Kluyveromyces lactis: one gene and its partners. The main gene of each other region encodes a partner of the protein of the gene in region 3 in a complex. Links are inferred from orthologs where the notes say so. Each region holds a gene or a part of one and is shown on either strand. Other genes may lie near its edges.

What was found. Proteins that work in one complex are often made in the same cells at the same time.
Region 1: MRPL17 (region 3) and MNP1 share a complex: the UniProt entries of both Saccharomyces cerevisiae proteins name them as parts of the mitochondrial large ribosomal subunit. The link is inferred for Kluyveromyces lactis from reciprocal best matches to the Saccharomyces cerevisiae genes MRPL17 and MNP1.
Region 2: MRPL17 (region 3) and MRPL51 share a complex: the UniProt entries of both Saccharomyces cerevisiae proteins name them as parts of the mitochondrial large ribosomal subunit. The link is inferred for Kluyveromyces lactis from reciprocal best matches to the Saccharomyces cerevisiae genes MRPL17 and MRPL51.

What each region holds. Positions count from the first base shown.
Region 1 is NC_006040.1:268,761-271,139, forward strand, and holds MNP1 (mitochondrial 54S ribosomal protein bL12m), read right to left. Parts: upstream 1,040-2,379; coding exon 527-1,039; downstream 1-526. Other genes in the region: cAMP-dependent protein kinase catalytic subunit TPK2, read left to right, coding at 1-291; DNA-directed RNA polymerase II core subunit RPB9, read left to right, coding at 1,551-1,919; KLLA0_D03256g (uncharacterized protein), read right to left, coding at 2,276-2,379. UniProt on the Saccharomyces cerevisiae protein: Component of the mitochondrial ribosome (mitoribosome), a dedicated translation machinery responsible for the synthesis of mitochondrial genome-encoded proteins, including at least some of the essential transmembrane subunits of the mitochondrial respiratory chain.
Region 2 is NC_006042.1:776,618-778,938, reverse strand, and holds MRPL51 (mitochondrial 54S ribosomal protein mL43), read left to right. Parts: upstream 1-1,366; coding exon 1,367-1,795; downstream 1,796-2,321. Other genes in the region: GCD2 (translation initiation factor eIF2B subunit delta), read right to left, coding at 2,006-2,321. UniProt on the Saccharomyces cerevisiae protein: Component of the mitochondrial ribosome (mitoribosome), a dedicated translation machinery responsible for the synthesis of mitochondrial genome-encoded proteins, including at least some of the essential transmembrane subunits of the mitochondrial respiratory chain.
Region 3 is NC_006039.1:256,987-259,559, forward strand, and holds MRPL17 (mitochondrial 54S ribosomal protein mL46), read right to left. Parts: upstream 1,299-2,573; coding exon 507-1,298; downstream 1-506. Other genes in the region: TEX1 (Tex1p), read left to right, coding at 1-299; Nrd1 complex RNA-binding subunit, read right to left, coding at 1,616-2,573. UniProt on the Saccharomyces cerevisiae protein: Component of the mitochondrial ribosome (mitoribosome), a dedicated translation machinery responsible for the synthesis of mitochondrial genome-encoded proteins, including at least some of the essential transmembrane subunits of the mitochondrial respiratory chain.

The sequences.
Region 1 (2,379 bases), on a different chromosome or scaffold from region 3:
CCACCATTTTTCCACCCTGATGTTGTGGATCTATTAGGTAAGTTGATCACTGCAGATTTGACCCGTAGATTAGGTAACTTACAAAGCGGGCCAGATGATATCAAATCGCATCCATGGTTTGCGGAAGTTATATGGGAAAAGCTTGTGGCAAAGGACATCGAGACGCCGTACGAGCCACCAATCGCTGTCGGTGTCGGTGATTCCTCTTTGTTCGACCAATATCCGGAAGAGCAACTGGACTATGGCGTTCAGGGCGAAGATCCATACGGCCAATACTTTTTAGATTTCTAACGAAATCTTCAAAGAAAAACATAACTCATAATCGATTCATTTTTGAACGGATCGTTCGTGAAACTACCTCTTCTTTTTACTTTGTTATGTCGGTCGGATTGCGTTTATATATATATATCTTAATCTTAAGAGTTTATATTAATATATTTTTGGTTATTATTATGTACAGGAAAATGAGAAGAGAACTCGTTTTGACATGGGGAATTTACATGCGTGAGGTGTTCGACGTATCTGTCTATTCCAAGACAATCTTGGCACCTAGCCCTTCCAATGCAGCCTTAACCTTGTCAGCGTCTTCCTTAGCGACGTTTTCCTTCAAAACCTTTGGAGCACTTTCCACAAACTTCTTAGCTTCAACCAATGACAAACCTAACAAGTTCTTAACTTCTTTGATGATCTTAGGCTTAGACTTGGCATCAAACGATTCTAACTTGATGGAGAAAATAGTCTTCTCTTCAACGACTTCTTCTTCCTTGGCTTCTTCAGCTGGAGCAGCTGGGGCAGCTGAACCAGCACCAGCTGCTGGGAACGAAATATCTGGGATGTTCAATTGAGTCTTCAATTCTTGAATCAAAGCAGAAGTTTCCAATAAAGTCAATTTGGAGATATCTTGAACGATTTGAGAAATCTTTGGATCAACCGCAGCAGCTGGAGTAGATGTACCAGCAGTCGATTGATAACGAACCAAACCTAATCTACAACTGTTCCTTGCAAAAACGCCGGATGATCTTACCACTTGACGCAACATTTTTTCTTTTATATTATTCCCAAACCCACCTGTGATAAAAACTGCTGTTCTCGGTTAGATTCAAGATGGAGAACTAATCGTGAATGTCAACAGTACAACTCCACAATCTGTTTAACCTGTTTCGATTGTTCAATGGAATTGTCTTTAGGTTTAAAGCTTTTTTCCCAAAATTTTTCAGCTAACAGATGATAATCGTACGGAGTGATAGATGCTGCTAACACTTTTCGACATTTGAAAAGCTTCGATTGAGAACTAGGAAAGGATCCAGAATTTGAGCCATGGTTTTGATAGGAATAAGAGTGTATAAGAAGTGACTCTGGTTTAAGTGGGGTCAAAGTTGTTTGTTTTGTGGTTTAAAAGCAACATATTGTTGTGTACTTGTAGTTTTTAAGAGAAAAACGGTTAATTTTTAGTGGTTTCACTGGATTGAAATACTCCAAGAACCGGATTTTGTTAAGAGAGAGGAATAGACAGACGATAGATAGTTGATAAAAGATAAAAGTGTATCATAATGACTACGTTCAGATTTTGTCGTGATTGTAATAATATGTTATATCCTAGAGAGGATAAAGAGACACATAAATTATTATTCGAATGTCGTACGTGTCCCTACGTTGAAGAGGCAGGTACTCCATTGGTTTACCGTCATGAATTGAAGACGAATATTGGTGAGACTGCAGGTGTGGTGCAAGATATAGGGTCTGACCCGACACTACCGCGTTCAGATAAAGAGTGCCCGAAGTGTCATTCTAGGGAGAATGTGTTTTTCCAGTCGCAGCAGCGGAGAAAGGATACCAGTATGGTTTTATTCTACGTCTGTTTGCATTGTTCGCACATTTTCACTTCTGATAAAAAGAATAAGAGGCAAACCTTTTCGTAGAACAGATTTTTGGTACAAAGTCATTCCCGTTCTGTTTGATGATCCTCTTCCCTTTGATTTAAGCATATGTAAAATTTTATTTCTATAGGGATATCTTTAAAAGCTACGATTCTATAGTTTCCTTATTAACGAATGTAAAGAAAGAGGTATGAATATAAAACAAGTTTAATTGAAAACAAAATAAAATGATAATTGACAAATGGAGACGTATGACTGGTACGAAAACCAGAACAAATGAAGAATGTCTTTTTTTTTGGTTTTTTTGGAGTGTTCACCAATAACATCGCGTCAGCGCATCAGTGCTTGTATGTATCCGTGTTGTACTAAATGAAAGACTTTTTTCCACTGCTAAAATCTCATTGAAAAAAGCCGTGAGGTTCATCCCAAAGCATTTGTGGATTATGCGTAGCTTGCTGCGGTTGGTCAAGATCATTATTAAACTGTAGGTGATAATTGTACT
Region 2 (2,321 bases), on a different chromosome or scaffold from region 3:
GTTGGATCCAATGAATGATTTTATTTTTCTGTAGCGAGGTATTGAAGCTTCTGAAAACTGACGTTTTGAAACTTTCTTGTTTAGTGACAGAGAAAATAATTTCAAAAGGTATGTATGGGTAGGGAACCAAGTTTAGCGTTATAATCGTTTTTAATGAGCGTAGTAAAGTTAGGTTGTTGTTCGAGGGTGTTCAATCTTTAATTAATCTGAAGGAAAACTATGTATATTAAGAATTCTTCAATGACATGAAATAAAGGTGCAAGTAAAAGGTATGAAAATGGTAGTAAAAAAGTGCCATTTGCTGCCCTTCTTATATAATACAAATGTTACTTTGGACACGCTAATAAACTCTTAACACCTTATAAGTATTTACCGTTGATGAATTACCAAGTTCCAGTTAATTAGTATGGTATTCTTCTGCTTTTTTCCCTAAATTTTTTTGTCGCATTTTATACTGCATCGTTGAAACGCTTCAGTGAACGCCGTAATAAATTAAAGAAACGGATACAAACCTTGACTGTTCGCTACTTACAAGTGAATGTTTTTTAGGGGTGGTCATCGTTATACGCATCCTTAAAAAAACGCATAGAACTTTAATTTTTCAATAGTTATAGGGACATTATACGCACCATAATGATAAACTGGTGACTATTATGGCAATACATTTGCCTGTTCTTGAACAAAGTGTCATACACTTACATCACACTTAATAGGGAGTGCCCAGTTAATTGGTTTAAATGACGCATGTGCATAATTTTTTTAACAAATTACTAGTGTGCATCCAACATACGCTAGGTGTCAATCCGTACATTCCATGGGTGAACGCAAATCAGGCCCTTTATTTAATTAACCTCATATGAAGCCTTTGGGACATCTTGGATCAGAATCTGGGGCCTCTATCGTACTTTCTATGGATTTGCTCAGTAAAAGTACCCTTAACCAAACGCTGGTAGTGCATTATTGTCATAACCCATCGACAGATCATCAAGTTTACATGACGTATGACATCTCATGAGGATGTGTTGACATAGCAATGTGAAAGAAACAGAATATAGTCGGAAAGAGGTTCTGTATTATTTACATTCGTCACCTTATAGCAGTGTTGGTACCAGTATCTTTTTCATTTGTGTGAGCATGTGGTGAATTGTCCTCCTACCTTCGAATACATACAGATTTGTTCACGTGACTGATGGTCTTTTGAAATTGGAAAAAAATAATCATGAACTGAAAACTCGAATAAAACTCAAAAGATATATTAGTGAATCTATGTTCTGCATCTGAAGGATCTCTCCACAGTTTCAAAATACACCCAACTTGTTTTCTAATCAGAGCTGGTACCCGCGGTCATAAAGATTTCTCTGAAGTAATGGTTGTTAAAGTTTTGAGACAAACTTCTATCGCAAGAAATGGTGTTGGCGCTTTTGTGCTTCCATGTAAAAAGATCACTTTGCAATACTGTAATTGGGGTGGTTCCTCACAGGGTTTGAGAGATTTCCTAACGTCTAACAGAATGATTCAATGGGCTGAAAAATATCCAACAATACAGTTCGAAATAGTAAGAAAGTCTGGCCATCCAGTTATAAAAGGTGACTATGTTAATGGCCGTAATAAAGCCATCTGCGTAAAAAATCTGAACATTGATAATGTAGAGAATAAGTTAAAACTAATCAGAGACGCATCTGGTGAGCAACTCCGTCACAGAACTAAGAACGACAATGTGGATACTTTGAACGATAGTGTGAGAGGTATCTGGTCTCCACTACATTTAAGCCCAGCCATCAGACACAAGGTTTGAATCGAAAAAATGACTTGTGAATGGTAATATCGAGATCATAGCTTAACTTGTACATATATATAGCAATATCCTCGATGAAGCCGATACCTAAGTAAACAACCTACGATGTTGAATATTACTACGCAATTAATAAAAAAGAAGATCTATACTAATTTTTCATTTACTATATTATATGATATTATCGTATATTATATATGCAAAGGGCTCCATTCAAGCTGATGCTTTGTATTCTCTAAGAACCACGGGAACAGAAGATGGTGGCAACGAACCAAATTCTGTAATGATCTTCTTGATGTAGTCAGGGGGTGTTAAATCGTACATTATATTGAAGATGTGCAAATTAGGTGATTTCTCCCACTCTGCTAGTATTGGTTTATCCTTGACATTCTTACCTTCGTCGGCAGTAGCATTATTGGTATTAGCACTGCCAGATTTATTATTTTGCTTAGAGCTATTCTCGACTTCCTTCTGCTGCGCTTCACGCTCTTTGATAAATTGCTGTAATAAGAACCCATTGTTGTTACGT
Region 3 (2,573 bases):
GGTCAAAGTCGTGCTTAATATTTTACACCACTGGTGCTCTTGATAAAATGACAATGGTTGATTTACGTTCAGGCAGACCGAAAACTATGGTATCGACCGATGATCGTAAACGAAATGATTTTGTTAAGAAAAGCACCGATCGGAGCAGTAGAACTCAAAGAGACACACCACAGCGCGGGAAGAGGGATAAAGAGCTGCGCAAACAACCATACAAGAGAGATGCTGATAAATTCAGTGAGAAGTCGTTTGGTCGCTCCAACACAGGGTCTTCTTTTAGAAAGCCAAATGATAGATGGTGATAGATTTAAAAGTTAATTAGCATTCTTACAAGTATATAATGTTCCAATCTTAAAATCAATCAGAGTTCAGCAATATGTATATGATTGTTATCTTTTAGTGTTCGATACGGGTTGGAATTTCTATCCGAAGCAGTATTTACAGGAGGGTTTACATATATATATAGTGATTAAATCATGCCAATACTTTCTGTGTTTGATGATAATATGTTAATTCTCAGCAAGAACATATTGTATACTATTGAAATATCTCTCGTCAACAGCTTTCTTGATTTCATCTTTTGTCAACCATGCAAATTCTTTGATTGACTTTTCATCCTTTAACTTGAATTCACCTGCTATGATATGCGATTTGATCAAAAACTGGAGATCTTTTTCAGATTGTAGAACACCTGCTGGAGTATTCGACACAGTCCATGTATTAATATCTTCTCCGCCGATTTTTCTTAATCCCACTTCAGCGGTCTCATGTAAAGCTTTCTTTCCTTCCTTAGCTTCAATATCAACCGGGAAACTTGGAAGAACCCAGCTTCCCTTGTCATCCTTCACAAGCAAATGCAGAGTTCTGTCCAATTTTCTGTCTAAACTAGTAATATCGTTATTTTCGTCTGCCTTTGTAGTTCTGGAATTAGGAACAATTGGCCTTGAGACATCAGACTTGTTTGAACCTTCTGAAGCCTCTCTTGGTAGCATAATATCTTGCTTTTGACTTCTTTCTCTGTTATGTCTGACGTCTGGCACTCCTTTAGGGAACCATACACCAGGCTGCTTGCTAATCACACCTTTCTGTACAGACTGGAAACGACGCTCTGCCAAAGTACCTTTTTTGAAATAGAAATAAGATGGAAATGTCCACATTAGTCTTCTTTCCAGTTCTGCCTGGTATTGGTAGTACTTGTTCTCTAGTGCATTCAATTCTGGAGTGACGATTGGAACACGAGAAAGTACCAAACCTGCCTTTACTGCCTTGGGAATCGAGCTTGCTGCTGCTTTCACAGACATTTTTATTTATAATTGTGTCGATGAAGAGGGTTGCTGACTGAATATACACGATGATTGACAGCTGGTGAATATGCTTCCCAATTCTGATAAGCGGCACTATTTCAACATGATGCTGATGTTCCAATAATTTTTCAAATTGTTTGAACATCCTCTCATGCCTACTATTCCAAAATTTTTCAATATGAAATAATCGATCACGATATACGGATTTGATAACTTTCCAAGTGGTGTCACTAATAGAACAAAGTAGTGAGTGAATTGCATATGCATAAAGGCTATCAGATACAGAAAATTATTTAAGTGCATTTATATAAGCATTATTTTGGCGTTTGGTTCAAAATATTCATCAATGTGTTTAATTGCGCAGTTGGATCGAAATTTTGTGGGGGTTGAGGAGATTTTTGGCCCGAAGGTTGAGTAGACTGATGCGATTGCTGCTGCTGCTGCTGCTGCGCAGATGATGCCGATCCCAGCAGTTGATTTTGACCATATACCATTGATGGAGGCTGCTGATACAATGGCTGGTTATAATACTGTTGTTGGATTTGAGGAACGTTCGGTATTTGTGATGTTTGAACCGGAGGAGGAGGAGGAGATATATTACTGTAGGGGATAGGTGTTTGAGAGACAGCAGTAGCTTGACCAACTTTACCAGACTTGGGACCCAAAACACCTTTATCAGTTGGCATCTTTTGCGAAATCGCTTTTGATGAAACACCTTCACCAACAATAATATCGGGCTCCTCATAAACCATGTTTGTTTGGATTGGTTGACCACCAGTACCACCCCATTCCGCGGACTGTGACCATTTGAAGTCAATTTCGGTTAGCCTGGCCAATGGGATGATTGAATATCCATATTGATAGTCACAACAGTCTCTAGGACCGAAACCAACGGCCCAACGGATTCTCAAACCATGTGTCGGATTGCCACCACCAGTGAAATGCGCCATGATCCTCTCCGCTTCTGCTCTTGAATAGACTTTCACAAAGGCGTGCTTACGGGCATTATTCAAAATAACACTCTGAACCTCACCGAATTGTCTTAACATTCTTGCAATATCATGTTCTTTGAAATTTTGTGGGACACCACCAACGAAAAGGGTTCTGGAATATACTTTTACGTGGTCCCTTGGCACAGTTGGATCAAAGGATACCGGTTTTGGCCTAAAATGAGGGTTTGAGGGAACATTCTGCTCATCTGGGTACAAATGATGGTTATTTCCTTGTTGACCATTAATTGACTGCTGCTGTTGTTGTTGTTGTTGTTGTTGT